Linked DNA regions of Lepisosteus oculatus. The protein of the gene in region 2 binds, or shares a complex with, the protein of the main gene of each other region. Links are inferred from orthologs where the notes say so. Each region holds a gene or a part of one and is shown on either strand. Other genes may lie near its edges.

What was found. Proteins that work in one complex are often made in the same cells at the same time.
Region 1: the proteins of lman1 (region 2) and mcfd2 are in contact, whole or in part, in a cryo-EM structure (PDB 8JP5), measured with the Homo sapiens proteins. The link is inferred for Lepisosteus oculatus from reciprocal best matches to the Homo sapiens genes LMAN1 and MCFD2. Residues at the interface, in NP_005561.1 of Homo sapiens: His43, Arg44, Arg45, Phe46, Tyr48, Lys49, Ser51, Phe52, Lys53, Pro55, His56, Gln59, Ser60, Asp61, Val64, Pro65, Phe66, Trp67, Lys96, Phe265, Glu273, Lys279, Glu280, Ile281, Glu285, Lys286, Tyr289, Glu292, Phe293, Phe296; in NP_001164977.1 of Homo sapiens: Val59, Ile60, Asn61, Lys62, Gln70, Glu71, Leu74, His75, Phe77, Lys78, Tyr82, Asp83, Asn86, Asp89, Gly90, Leu91, Glu92, Thr95, Thr98, His99, Val100, Leu111, Glu114, Leu117, Ile118, Ile121, Asp122, Leu125, Asp129, Lys130.

The regions. Positions count from the first base shown.
Region 1 is NC_090712.1:13,243,186-13,250,855, reverse strand, and holds the start of mcfd2 (multiple coagulation factor deficiency protein 2), read right to left. Parts: upstream 3,016-7,670; 5' UTR 2,907-3,015; exon of another isoform or gene 2,873-2,906; intron 1,208-2,872; 5' UTR 1,117-1,207; coding exon 950-1,116; intron 393-949; coding exon 233-392; intron 24-232; coding exon 1-23. UniProt on the Homo sapiens protein: The MCFD2-LMAN1 complex forms a specific cargo receptor for the ER-to-Golgi transport of selected proteins. Plays a role in the secretion of coagulation factors.
Region 2 is NC_090698.1:20,227,727-20,235,180, forward strand, and holds the start of lman1 (protein ERGIC-53), read left to right. Parts: upstream 1-4,447; 5' UTR 4,448-4,483; coding exon 4,484-4,682; intron 4,683-7,454. UniProt on the Homo sapiens protein: Mannose-specific lectin. May recognize sugar residues of glycoproteins, glycolipids, or glycosylphosphatidyl inositol anchors and may be involved in the sorting or recycling of proteins, lipids, or both.

The DNA.
Region 1 (7,670 bases), on a different chromosome or scaffold from region 2:
GGTTGGCTGGTTTCTCCTCTTTCCTGGAAAACAAAATTATATACAGTATGTAAAATACTACATAAGGCCCATTGGTAATTACAATGCAAAAATAAGTTTAAGCCTAAAGCAATCTAATTTCAAAAGATGTTTCGCAAAATCGCAGGATGAAAAGCCTCTCAGGATTGTTGGGTTTGATGCTAAGCTGCTAAATTAATCTTTGACTAGCAGAGCGCCATGAGATTTGGCCAACCTCTTTGTGAACGTGAGTGATGGCAGTTGCAAGCTCTAATCCATCCAGCAGGTTGTTCCCATCATAGTCGTGCATTTTGAAGTAGTGGAGCTGCAGCTCTTGAGGAGTCATGTCCGACTCTGGCTTCTCAATCACCCCTTCTAGATGTTCCATAATGTGGCTGCAGAAAAAAGACAAAACAGTTTGGTTCGGAAAATAGTTTTGGAAAACAAAAATCGTATCCTTGCCCAGTTTTATTTGACTGAACCTGAACAGCTGTGCTTGACTTTTATTTTTCAATCATAAAATTTTACAACGAGGCATTGTACATGTACTTGGTAGAAAGTAATTTTTGACACATAGAAGAGAGATGCCTGAAATTCCTTGCATTAGTATCATTAATGTACAGGTCCTCAACTAAAAACATTTACAGTAGACTCCAGAGCACATCCCAAATTGAGTGAATTTATGTAAAAGCTTTGCCACCTTTACCTGAACCTTTCATGTAAAGCTTCTCACATTGTATGATGACTGATGTAGTGATAGAATGTGTCAGACTTATACATTTATAATCCTTGGAGGTCTTGATGGTACACAGTCTGAAGCCCAAAAATGGTAACATTGGGGAAATATCAAATGCAAATTGAAAAAAACACAAGTATTTAGCTTTTTAATAAGAATCTATGATTTGCTAATTCATCAAAGTTGGGGAAGCCAACAGAATAATTCTGTACTTACTCTTTATCCTGGACAATATTTTTGTCAAGTCTGAGGTTGGGCCGGTGCCCCTCAGCAACCTCTACATCAGGTTGCCCGTGATCTTGTGCTCTGGCTGACAACAAGCAGCTGAGCAATAGCGCTGAGCTGAACATGCTGCTCCAGCCGGCTCTGCCTCTCCACAGCATTCTCACACCAACCAACTGTGCAGGACACCGACGCACTCCTCAGATGCTGAACTCAACGCACTCTACAGGTGGCCTGTGTTGAAGACAATTCCTGTGGAAATAGTGGGTAAAGATCCACTGTCAACTGACTCCATTTTTAAACTCTGCGTTGTTCATAGTATTTAAGATTGCAAACGTTTCAGAAATGCTTTTGAAGACTTCTCTACCATTACATTTTAAAGACAACACTGTATTTTCATCAGATGTTCAGATTTTAATGAGCAATAAAATATTTTGGAAGAAATTTAAGAGGTGTATGAACATAAAAGGTCAATTATCAACCCATGACACATGAGGACCATCTTGAAGCTTGCAAAGACAGAGCCAAACATTTGTACAAAACCATTTTAGGGAAATATATTTTTAATTGTGCCATTTATTAGTCACATTTTTGACACTTTTATCCAAAGGGACTTACAACTGTACCAATCTATAGAGGAACCTTTCACAGGAGGCCACCCACAGTGACCCACCTGAGATTTAAATCCAGAACCTACTGTAAATAAAAACACTAACGACACTTAGCCTAATCTGGTAAAGAAAGTACATTATTCTAAAGCATTGTGACATATCCTTACTGTCATTGGAGATATCCCGCCTAGCGTGGATACTGTTGGAATAAAAAAGTCAGTTCTTCAGACATAAATAGTGTTTTTTCTCCTGAGGGAATAAGAATATCACATGAATTCATCTGCAGTTAAAGTCTCTTGGAAGACAGATACTGTTGCAACCTTTTTGTCTTGGTTAAAATCCCATTTAGGTGATTTCTTTAGTCATGACCTCATTTCATCAGCAGAACAGTCTGCCGAATCCAATTATCTATTAACTAAAGCTCTTCTAAAGAAATATCAACCTGTAGCATAACTGCAAATGTCTCAGGCTTCTGGTTCTGAAAACCATTCTCTTACATCTTTCCATAACTAGTAGGTAGTTAGTCCCCACCTCAGGGCAGATCTTGGTATTCATTGTACATGTGAAAAAATAATTGTATCTGCTGTACAGATCGAATTGCAGTTTCTAAAACCTTCTCGTTTATGAACTAAACACGCCTACGTTGACAATAGATACTTTGTACATATTTGTAAACTGATGTACGTGCGTAACGGATTATCAGAAACATACGACGTTATTACTATCGTACCTTCTGCACCTAGAAATATAAGCTAATACAGAAAAAGCAAAATGAGTTTATATAGTCAAACAAGTGGCTATTAAAAGGTGTGTATTTTCGATGTATGATCAGACAACATTAATTTGAACGCTGGCGAATGCCATTTCTTAGTTGATCAATACGCAATTCAGCAAAAACAAGATACATATTTTTTTGTTATTTTCGAGTGCTTCACACCCCCTCATTACATAGGTCTTCTTTATCTCAAATGATATGTTATAACGGTAACAAATTACCGCTGTTGATGCTAATAACACCGATCATACATTAGCTATAGACAGTCGGACATCCTAGATTACTTAATAAAAAGCGTGTTCTAATGATCCCACACAGGTATAAACTTAAGACAGCCTAAATGTCTTTAATTTTGTCGATTTACTATTTAGTGTTAGTTTAGCTGTAAACTAATCATAAACAGTGTTTAATTGAACAGTGTAATCGAGAGGATCCCAGCAGAGCAGCTGCAATTCGACACGAGTTGGTGCAGGTCAGTCTGAAATTAGTTCAATAAAAAATGTATATTCTTATTAAGCCTATTTTACACACCTTTATGGCCCAATCAAATCACTTCCACACTCACCAATTTCCTTTGTTTTCTTTCCTTTCCTGTACAAATACCCTGACTCGCTTGGAGCGATACTTTCGTCTATGCAATTTTTTCCACTGTATTTTGGTCCTTATGCTTTGCCGTAGTGACCTTTCACCTAAGGACACGACGTCTCTCTGTGATTGGCTAAAATTGTCAAAAAGTACGATTCCGCCTCCTCCTGAGGTTTTTCCACGTACCTCTAGTAAAAGCAGAACACTTCCTGGATTATAGAGATAAGGTGTTACGGTTATGGTTTATTTGAAAGTGTAGTCTAACCTTTATGACTCGGCAGTATTATTAGGTTGGAGAAAAGCACCAAGAACTAAGCACGAAGGTATACACAGCTCTTGAATTATGTAGTCTGCTAGATTTGAATTGATCCGTTTCTCTGACGACACATTTTCGGTATTAAGGCTACTGTATCGTGTGACAAGACGTTTGTACATGTTAGTGAAATTCTGGTTTTGTGAATGAGTAAAGGCTGATTGAAAAATGTCAAGGATTCTTTGAAACGTAAACCAAGTGATTGCTTCTTCGCTTCCTATAGCAGACATGCTCAAGAACATACATTACCTTATTTTAAATATATGTATTTAAATGCTTCTAGAGCAAGAGAAAAATCCCCATCTATCCAGAAAAAGTCTGATTACTTAAAATATTTTAAACGTCCAGTAACTGTAAAGTTTAGTACTTTAGAAATCGTACACTATGCATCAGCAGACCTACAGGCCATTACCTTAAATTCGTCAAACTCAGGATGGCTGGGTCTACTAATCAGTATTGGATTGGGAGGACAGAAGAAAAAAGCGAGTTGGTGCTGGAAGCTGTGTTGGTAGACAGCAAGGTCTATTTGATAGAAGGTGGCACATCCCCCCAGACTTCCGTTTCTAATCCAGTGTCTCATAACTTAACATCACTTTATTAGCCCTATACAATTTCTTGCATTAGGAATTCGTCTTTTCGCATACCCCAGGTTGCTCTCCATGAGACACGTAGACACATTGCACAGCGCCCCCTGGTGCAGTCGGGGTTAAGGGCTTTGCTCAGGGGCAACACGCAGTAGGATTTCTCTGCCGGCTGTGGGATTTGAAGCGGCAGCCTTCCAGCCATAAAATGACTGAATCCAGATGTTCAAACACGATCCTGAGTAACTGTTCACCCCATAGCACTGTTCGTAAGAATAAGGATGTTAGTTATTGTCCTGCCTGTATTTCACTCTGGGTTTGCACGATCTCCTCCTTATTTCGGTCTAGAAGCGGTATCTCACTTGTCTCTAACCTGCGGTGCACTGGATGCCAAACTAAGGTGGTGGATGAAGCAGATCTTAGATTTAGAATAATTTGGGGGTGATAATGCAACACGAATGTAAGGAATTATTATGAATTTTGTACAGAGATGTTTAGCTCGGCCCATATAAGATTGAACATGAAACCAACATCTAAACACTGTATCGCATGCTTACTTTCCTAGTTCGCGAATCCAGATTCCTTTTTTAATTCTCTTAAACATTCAAAACGAAAGGAGAACTTTCAGTTCATGTAAGAGCTAAATGACGCCGAATGAGCTTTCGGTGACGTAATCCCCACACATTCAATAACTCAAAACAGTAGTACAAGGTGTCGTCTTTTAGTTTGTAACGGCGGGGTTAAAATACTCGTTTATTTACCACAGTATCAGACATCAGTAAAACGATATAACCAAAACAACAGCTGTAGTTTCTACTTGTAAGACAACACAGCTATTGTTATCTTAAACTAATGTTACCGTTATTTATATCAATATCTCTGTTAAAACAACGGCTGGCGGGCTGTTTTTTTTTTCAGATCGCTAACATGCACCTTGTTAGTCATTATGGGGTTTACATAATGATGTAAATGTATTATAAAGCACAACATATACTGTTTTTTTGCGTGATTGTTTAAGAAGAATACAATTTTAAGCACGACAATACTATTATTGTTGTAATAATAATAATAATAATAATAATAATTGCTTACACTTATATAGCGCTTTGGACACTCTACTCAAAGCGCTTTACAGGTAATGGGGACTCCCCTCCACCACCACCAATGTGCAGCTTCACCTGGATGATGCGACAGCAGCCATAGTGCACCAGTACACTCACCACACATCAGCTATCAGTGGGGAGGAGAGCAGAGTAATGTAGCCAGTTCATAGAGGAAACTGTTGTAGGAAACACAAAGTGGCAAAGAAATGCAAAAAATCTGTTTGACAATGAAAGCAATAATTGCGTCTATCACCCCGCCAGTTTATATTTACGGGGCTAAAAAAATAATCTTTACCATAGTCAAAGTTCGTTGTATCCACGAGGAGGCACTATTGCGTAATTTAGAAGCACATTATTTTCAGTTTCGGAGCACTTAAAATTTAACAACCTCAAAAGGCTCAATTACTGTTTAGACAATAACGTCAGACGCTGGGTTTATTGCATTTTCACGATGAAATATTAGGTGATTTGACATTCAAGCATTTCATTGTAATGTGCTCCATTTAAAGCTGTATGTGGAAGTCAGTGTTTCGGCAGATCTACCAGAAACTAGTGTTTTTGAATACGGAGCAGTAGGTGATCATTATCAGCTTTGTTGTTTAAAGGTTGTTATTAATCAACTGTGTAAACAGAGGCCCAGTTTGTTTCAACACTCCCTAACAAAAAGCAGAGCAGTATGGGAAGAGGAAAGGTTATTGTACTGTAGATCTTAGAGTTTTTTTCTTAAGGTAACGCATAATGTTATGAAAAATAAGATATATATATATAATTACACTTAAAAGCAAAAAAAAAACAACAAACATAAGCAAGTCTACGATGACGAATGTTCCTTACAAACATACACAACAAACACAATGTAATTATTTGGTTTGTTTTTGTATTTTTTTTTAAATCACATCAACAGGAAAGAAAGCTGATGATGTTGTAACAACAGCAAATTATGTCGTTATTCTAAATCTTCACTGTAGCTGCGTTACATCCAGGAAGATTGTAAATCCCACTCACTGTATAGTACTTAAACACAAGTCACTTTCCAGTCGCACATGCTCAGTGAGAAAGTTTACTTTTTGATTGCCTGTCAGTCACCAGCGGGCTCAGTGACTGTGGATTACGGTTATCGTTATCAAGGAGCATGGCAGCTAGGATATCGTTCTCTCAGTACCGTTTGGAGGCTGAGATAGAGAGGTGTCGCGGCGAATGCCAGTGGGACAAGATACCCGGTCTGGTAGAGCAACTCATTTCGGCTCGAATACACGAAGATGGTGAGTGTTTAGGAGGAATTTGTCGCTCTCTCAATTATAAAAAAACAACCGCAAAAAAAAATACACAGGCAAGAGAATACAGTAGTGGTTCCGCCTTTACAGTCAGGGCTGAACTTTGTACTTACAAAGTCAGTCATTTGTTCCAGTAACTTCAAATGCAAAACGTGTGACTCGATTCACTGACCAAAGTTAGGGAAGTAGCCACGTTCATCTTGCAGAGTTGTGCAAGCACTGTGGTGCGAGTGCTAAAAGTGAAGAATTCGAATTTATATTGAGTGATAGATTGAATTAAAACACAGCTTAGAGTTTACACATTACGTACAGAAGTTTACATTGCTGCATGATACTAATACCTAACTGATAAGAACTCCTTTTCATCTTCAAATTTTAGATTCAATGGATTATTGCCATTCTGATTTTTATGTTACAACGCAGTTCTGTGCTATTTCTAGATCTAGTGGTTTTGCTTAATTTGTGGTAAGTAGGAAATTTACTTACAAAGTAATCGTTTTTGTGTTCAGAGTGTTTCATTCTGTCGCCCTGGACTTGCATTTTTAATGTTTTTTTTTGAATGAATGTGTTCCCTCAACCTTGTTTATAAGTCCTGTCAGATTTCCTTTTAACAAACATTAAAAATTCAAAAACACCTTAGACTTTAAAACTAAAAGAGCTTTCTATAGATTACCATTCAAGGAATATGTCATGAGTACATGGACATTTACATGGAAATTTTGTGTTATACAATGTGCCAAACAGGATTTACACAATATTATTAAGTGATGCACAGTAGGTTTACAGATATAGATTACAGGTTTGTTAGTCTCTTGACTAGATAGCAGTTTTATACAGCTGTCTGGTAAGTCACATGAGGAAGCCAGTTTTTCCACATGTAACTCGAAAATAGAACTTGAGGAGAAATTCCTTCCAATAAGGCTGTCTTCCTGCTTACTGTACATGCTGTAATTGTGAACCACAAGAACCACCCTACAGAGTTGTCTCAAACATGCAGAATGCAGCCTGCATACATGTGTGTAAAGTAAATAAATCTGAGGTGACTTTTATCCACCTGCTTGACAGTGTTGTTTCTGGTCGTTAAGTTATTATGTAACACAAGGACGGTCACCTGAACTTTTAAGAGAGGGAGAAGTTGATCTTTTTATGTAAAAAAAAAAAACAATGAGAAATTTCAATTTAAAAATATTTTTAAGAGCTTAGACAACATACTGTACCAGGTTTTCTATCATACCAGGTAAAATATCTGTTTTCTGTAGCCTCTCCGTGAAAGATCTTTGGTTTTGTGTGATAAATTCAAGCATGATACAAATACATCTGCTTTAAATATGGCTTTTTAAATATACTGTAACTTATTTAGTGTTTAATAAGTTGGTAGCATATATATATATATTAATACTGTAGGTTCTGGTGCTCATAAAGTTTTATTAATGGGAAGCATCTACATTTCAGTAGCTAAAACCAAGGTTCTTG
Region 2 (7,454 bases):
TGTATGTCTAGAACTTAGACTTTTGCATTTTTATTGTGTATTGGTACAGTATAAATTAAAACAGAAATGCTATCTGGAGTATAGTACATTTTCAGTAACCATGAAAGCATTAAAACTGTTATTTGTATTTAATATGCAGGAAAATACAAACTGGTAGAATATTCTTGTACAGTCAAACAACAGGTTTTATATGTCTTAAGATATCTGAAACCAAACTTCATGCTTCTTGAATAATGTCTGCATAATAAATTGGATGATAACATCATCCTTCATACTTAAAAAAACTAATGGTAAACAAACATGACATAAATCAATACCAATTGTACTGACAACGGTTTGTTTCCTGGGACAACATTTAAAATAAAGTCAGAAAATTTTGTTCTAATCAAGATTTTATTCTCTGTCTAGAGTCTTAGGTTTAAACGCATTAAAGAAATTTATAGAATATAGAACAAAATACCAGCGAAAATTAGCCTTCAGTTATATAGCCTCACATCACCTACAGAGCCTTTCATTGTAACTATGAAAGACTTCAGTGAAACCTTATTGCTTGAAACCCAAATTTATGGGTTTTACTTCTTCTTTTAACTTTCCAGTGTAGCTCTACTTGTTGTATAGCAGGACCAGATTCTTGCTTGGCACTGGACTCTGAACAAACTATATTTTTCCCCCCTTGTAAAAGGGTACAGGTACAGTAAGTGAAAATGCAATGTGGTAGAACTGTAAGTATTTTCTGATTATAGACCCATGCCTTCGTGTTCTCGGTAGAAAAGTTACCTGTATTTAATAAAAATGCACACTTATTAAGAGATAATACTATAGCTTACAATCCTTTTAAGATGCCTCAGTACAGTTAGACTTCATTACACATTGGCAACTGTCAAATGCAGGAAGACGAAAGTGAGTGACAGAGGTATTGTTGCAAAACTCCACCACCCACTGGGGGACTGGGGCTTCCCTCTGAATGAGACGCCTTTAGGGATCATGTAACCTGAACCCCATTCATTGCTCTGTCATTTTAGCTTGACCACCTCTGCACGAACATATTAACCTCCTCTTGTGATTTCATAAAAAAAATCTAATTTAGCAAGCAATTAAGGGGTCACATGTAGGATAAAGAGCTGGATAATCTGGGATTACACGCAGGAAGCTTTGTTTCCAAGGCAACCTCTAGCAGAGTGGAGTGTTAATGCCCAGGTCAGTCTGTTAACGAAACAGGAAGAGTCATAGATTCCAAAACTTGCACTTGTATGGCCTGAATGCAAAAAAAACGATGCAGAGCTCTCATCACCAGGAATGCTTAATGATGCTCTTAATTTTAGGCTTCGTTTTCTTTGTACTGTACATCTACTAAAATTTATCTCCATAAAACTAGAAACTACATTAGATGTATAACACAGACACGTGCTATTGTTATTTCTAAGGGGGATCACAAAAAAAAAACAACAAAATGATTCACAGGCAAAAACAGCCCAGTATAATTTGCTTTAATACATACAGCCTAAAATCCGATTAAAAGTAATTTAATATTGTACTCATGGGCATGAGCATATCACCTATTAATAATAAGCTTTCTTACTTCTGATAATCTGAATCTGAATCCGAACTTTGTATCCATATTTCCATATTTTGTGCCATGAAAGAGAACACATGCTCAATAATAATATCACTTTATTAACCCTTTACAATGTCTTGGATTAGGAATTATCTTTGCACATTCCCCAGCTTGCTCTCCAAGAGACACACAGACAGGGAGAGAGCCTGGGGTCAGAGCACAGGGTCTGCCATTGTACAGCACCCCTGGGGTTAAGGGCTGTGCTCAGGAGCCCAGTGGAGTAGGATTCCTCTGCCAGCTGCAGGATTTGAACCTGCAACCTTCTAGCCACAGGTGCAGATCCTTAGCCACAGAGCCACTGCTCCACCCCAATCCTGAAAGACGTTGCACTTCTCAAGGAAAAAGAACTACAATTATGAAACCATGAAAAGTACAGTAGTTTTTTATGCTATTAAGAACTTTGAAGGGTAGTATCTCAAAAGAAATTGTCAATTTAAATACATATCTATTTGTTCCTGTCATTCAAGGTGTATACCAGCTTTTTTGCATTATAATAATATAATTATAATTTTGCACTATAATTTACTTAGAGACGTTAATTAGTATAATGAAATACTTTCTGTAAAGTACTAATATTACCAATTGACTTTTATATTTAAATTATTCAATATTTCAATTTATACTGGGGCAGGAGACCTGAAAGGAAAACCTTAATACATACAGTACGACACTATACACATAACACTCACAGTTGCTGATAGTGGTGTTGATGGACCAGTACAGTTTCTGTAGAGCAGAATGTCTACATTAATGACCCAATATGCTGTGCTGTAGGAGGCACCACTCGTATGAAGAGAATTTAAACCAAGTTCCTTACTAACTGCAAGAGATCCTATCTCATGGCTTATAAAATGAGTCCAACTCTGCACTTACACAAACTGGCCTCCCTCAATAACCCTCTCATTTCAATCAGTTCTTGCTTTTCAATCTAACGTGCTGAGCAGTGGGGCTCTTGTCTGTCACCTAGGTGGGTGCTGCTCTTGCGTGATATGTAAAGTGGGTGCCTTCTTTTGTGTAAACCAGATTAGGACCCTTTAGCACTATACAAATGCAAGCAAATTAATTGTATTATTATACCGCAGTATATGAACTACAGATTTTAGATGATCTTTATTGAAAAAAATTAAGTACATCAAAGTCCATCAACTACAAAACATGTATAGGGAACTGCTGCATTCAAAACAAAATTAATACCCTGAGAAACTTTGAACAAGAAAAAAAACAATAATCGACAAGGGAGATAATAAACATGGTGAATTGATCTACTACAAATCCCTCAAAAGTCAAAAACTGTCATTCACAACAATCCTGTTAGGCATAACATCAAAACTCTATTAAAGTTAAATTTTTCAGTGTTTAAAATACTTTCTTTCTTTTTGCAAAATCTCCTGTTTCCTCTTTTCCAGTCTGCATACAAAAGCAGTTAACTTTTTACAGAAAGTGAGTAAAATATTAATTTTGAGATTCCTCCTTAAAATTACCACAATACAAAAAAAGTATCTAATTGTTTTAGAAGTCTATTAATTTAGTTGTGTCTAAATGTGGAATTTGCCAATCAGTTATTGTTCAATTAATAATAGCAGAGGTCAATACAATAAAATGCCTCAATAATCACTGCCGTGTACAACATAGATCAATGGTGCACAAAACAAGATGCCACTTGCTTTTCCTGTATACATACTGCACGTTGGAGTACTTAAAAACAATGTTATTTACTGGTATTGTTAAAAGAGAATTAGCAGAGAAATGCATTTGAAAAGTATATGTGTTTTAAACTCAAAATCCAAATCTGCTTGGGTCTGCCAGATGTGGTGCATGCTTCAAGTGAATTGGAGTACAACAGGCTGGAATACCACATTCTATCTCTTCTGGATGCAGACAGTAGGTGTGTATGACACAAGAGGGAGAGTTGTTTTTACTTGATTTTATTACTTTAAATAAATGAACTTGACAATGTTGGGCTAAGAGATGTAGAATATACACTACTGTATGTCCTAGCTGCTCTCCTGTCTTTTTATCTGAATGTATTTTCCTGCCCATATACTGACTTGATGACTTCATGTTTGCAAAAGTAATGATTAATATAAAATACAGGACTAACTCTATTCTTCTGTCAGGAAGATTTAAAACTTCATATACAATATAAAACGGTTCAACTAGCCTGGCTTTCTTGATGATAGCATCCATTCTCTACTAGCTGCATGTCTTTCTGCTTATTATTGTATGTACAATAATGAGCATACAGTAGCTCAGCCCTGCAAGGACTCAATTAAGGCTGTTCGAAGGCAACTCAGTACAATCCCCACCACACACAGCACCTTATGTTTTTGGACTATAGCTATGGCTGCAACTGTTTAGGACAGATGTGATAAAGTTAGGTATTAGTCAAACCTTAAATACAGAGGCAATGGCTGAGATTTGGGGTAAAGTTGTAGTTTTTTGTCATCACACAGTTTTATGTCATCCTTATTTGCCATTAGGAATTTATAGATTTATTACCAAATGTAACCAAATAAGCAATCATAAACCTTTTTTATGTCAGTTTATCTAAAAACGTGTATTGTTATTCAAACTTGCTATATAATTCTTACGAGATGGATCAATCAAGAAGTTACCATACAAACAACAAGCAACACATCTTTAGATTCCAAATTATTAACTGAGCTTTTTATGGTGTGGCAATAGTAAAATAATATATACAGTACACGACTCAACTGAACTCTCCCCCTACCTACCACAGCGCACCAAACCCCGACTAGTGTGTACGTCACCATCGAGCTATAGTCCAATGAGAAAGCGCCCTGTTGGCTGTGCTGGAATTCCCGACATCCCCTACAGTCTGCGCTACGTCAGCAGTGGGACTGAAAGATGGCGGTGTCCATAGAAAAGTGCTTGATTGTAGCAACTAGGTTATTAATATTAACTTTAATATTTCACCTGGTTTCTGCGGACGTTGTTCAGAGCTCCCAGGACTCGCCACATCGCCGGTTTGAATACAAATACAGTTTCAAAGGACCTCATCTTGCGCAGAGCGACGGTACTATTCCTTTTTGGGTGCACACTGGAAGTAAGTTTTTTTGCAGTATTCATACTACACGAGCAATAGCTTTTCTGTATTAATATATAGGCAGAATATAGTCAGAATAATAAACACAATTTTCCCGTCATAAAGATTGCAGGTATACAAATAACACAGCTTGTTGGCTTTTTGTTTGCGCACTGTGCAATCTGCTGTCATTGGAAAAATCCGTGCTGAAACGTATTGGAAATCATTAAATGCAATTTGTGTTCAATTTCCTCTGCATGCAGTACATGTGCATTTCTCTTGATGATGAAATCTGAAACCGTAATGGCGATCATAATATACATAAACTTGAAAAAGGCTACATTGCCAGCCGAGACGTTGTGTGCTTTGCTCTTTCAACTTCTCAGTGTAGAATTAATCACTACTTGTGTTTCTTTGCATGGTAATGGTATTATTGTTACCGTGAATTAGCGCTGCAGTTATTTTTTCTCGATTTGCATGAGTTACAGTAGTGCTTAACGATAAACTATTTGTTTTGTTCAGCTCTGTTTGGATTGGGACTCTCCAGAACTTCACTTAGATAAAAGTAACTCTATTAAAATATATGGCAGAAAACATTGCCAATTTTTCTATGTAAACTTACTTCTGTAATGGAGTGTCTGAGGTCTTTTCTTAGATTAACCTGAGATATTAGGATTTATCTGCAGCCACTCCAGTAGAAAGTACTTTATTTCAGTTCGCAGCTGTCTACAACATTAAGGCTGGTATGGCTTTCTGCCTAAAACATTTGGGGGAAAAGCTGTTTTGTGCTGTGCAGCAGCACAGAGCTCTGGTGAAGAGAAGGAAACCAGTCAGTTTTAAAACCAAAATTAAAAAAAATTAGTCTGTATGCAAGAGGTATGACTTCAGCACATTTATCCTTTACATTGTTTCTTTTAGTTCAGGTGGGTAGCTGCGTCAGCATGCGTAGGCTGCAAAGGAACAAGTAATAGGTTTATTCCATGCTGAAAAAAAGAAGAAAGAGAACACAACGTTTCGGCCGTGGAGCACCTGAAGAAGGCTCCACGGCCGAAACGTTGTGTTCTCTTTCTTCTTTTTTTCAGCATGGAATAAACCTATTAATTGTTTCTTTTAGTTGAGTCAGTGCTCTTGCATTTCTGTTATGTTTACATTTTTATTCAATATCCATGTTCATTACTTTAAAGTATTGTGTGGCTGCACAGTGTCAAAGTCCATGTAGGTTCACTTTATCTGCTCTGTGACAAGTATTTCTTCCTCAGGTAAAATATCATGGTGCTTGGGTGAAGTGACAGCCTGAAATGATCTTTTTCATACTTTCTTTGCCAAACAAGGATTTTTACTACCTTTAATTTCTAAATAATAAAACTCTTATTTCTAATATCCTGTAGTAGAGTCGATTTTGTTTGTCTGTAGCACAAACTGAAGGTCATACACAATTTACTGAAGAAAAACAGTCCATTAAAATACTTAAATATAAAATTGTACTTATTTGTTACAAATCTTTTTATTTTATATAGCACCTTTAAAGGTGGCTTCTCAAAGTGCTTTACAGAATGACAACAATAAAAAATCCACAAGATATGCACAATGAAAATACACAATGAGACAGTAAGTGTGGGTACTGAATACAGTAGGAGCAGAGGAGTAAATAACAGAGCTAGTTAATTAAAGGTGGGTAGCTGCATCAGCATGTGTAGGCTGCAAAGGAACAAGTAATAGGCCTATTCTATGCTGAAAAGACTAGAAAGAAAACACAACATTTCACCTGAAGAAGGCTCCGAGGCCGAAACATTGTGTTTGCTTTCTTCTCTTTTCAGCATGGAATAAACCTACTGCTAGTTGAGTAAAGGCCTTTCTCAAGAAGAAGGTTTGAGTCTAGATTTGAAGGAGTTTAGGGAAGGTGTCTCTCTGATATCCTTAGTGAAAGAGTTCCAGAGCTTTGGGGCATAACAGGAGAAGGCCCTGTCACCCATAGAGTGTAGACGGGTTTGGGGGACAGCTACTGTAGCATTTTGAAGTTGACACGAAACCTGACTGGAAGCCAGTGCAAGGACTCCAGGATAGGAGTAATATGATCACTAGCACTAGACCTATTCAGGATTCTGGCTTCTGAATTTTGGACGTACTTGAGTTTGTTCAATGTGGATTTAAAAACCAAAGCAAGTGGAGCATTACAGTAATCAATTCCGTAGAAGACAAATGTATTGATAAGCTTTTCAGCAACAGTTAGCAAATACATAGGACATAGTCTGGTGATATTTCTGAGGTGAAAGAATGGTGTTTTGACAATATGTTGCCCATTTAGGTCAAATATCAAGCCCAAATCAAATATCACACCCATGTTTTTCAATTTAGACTGATGTTCAAGTACAGTACCCTCCACAGATAGGGTTACAGCACTAACTTTACAAAGTTGATGGGGATGCCAAAAAGCATGACTTCAGTCTGGTCACAGTTTAGATGAAGGACATTTTGAGTCATCCATATTTTTATGCAAAATATACAGTTAGAATAGAAACAGCCATATCAGTGTCGGGTCTGGTATAGATGTAGATTTGGGTATCTTCACCATAGAAGTGAGAGTTGATCTTAAAAGCAACCAAGTGGAAGCATGTAAATATTGAAAAGTAGAGAGCCTAGCATCGAGCCCTGAGGAACACCACACTTAACGAGTAAGATTTCAGACCTACATATGCTAAGAGAGACAAAGTGACAGTGAGCTAAGACTTGAACTATTTAAGAACAGTGTCAGAAACTCCACACAGTCTCAGGATGAGAAAGTAAGATATCATG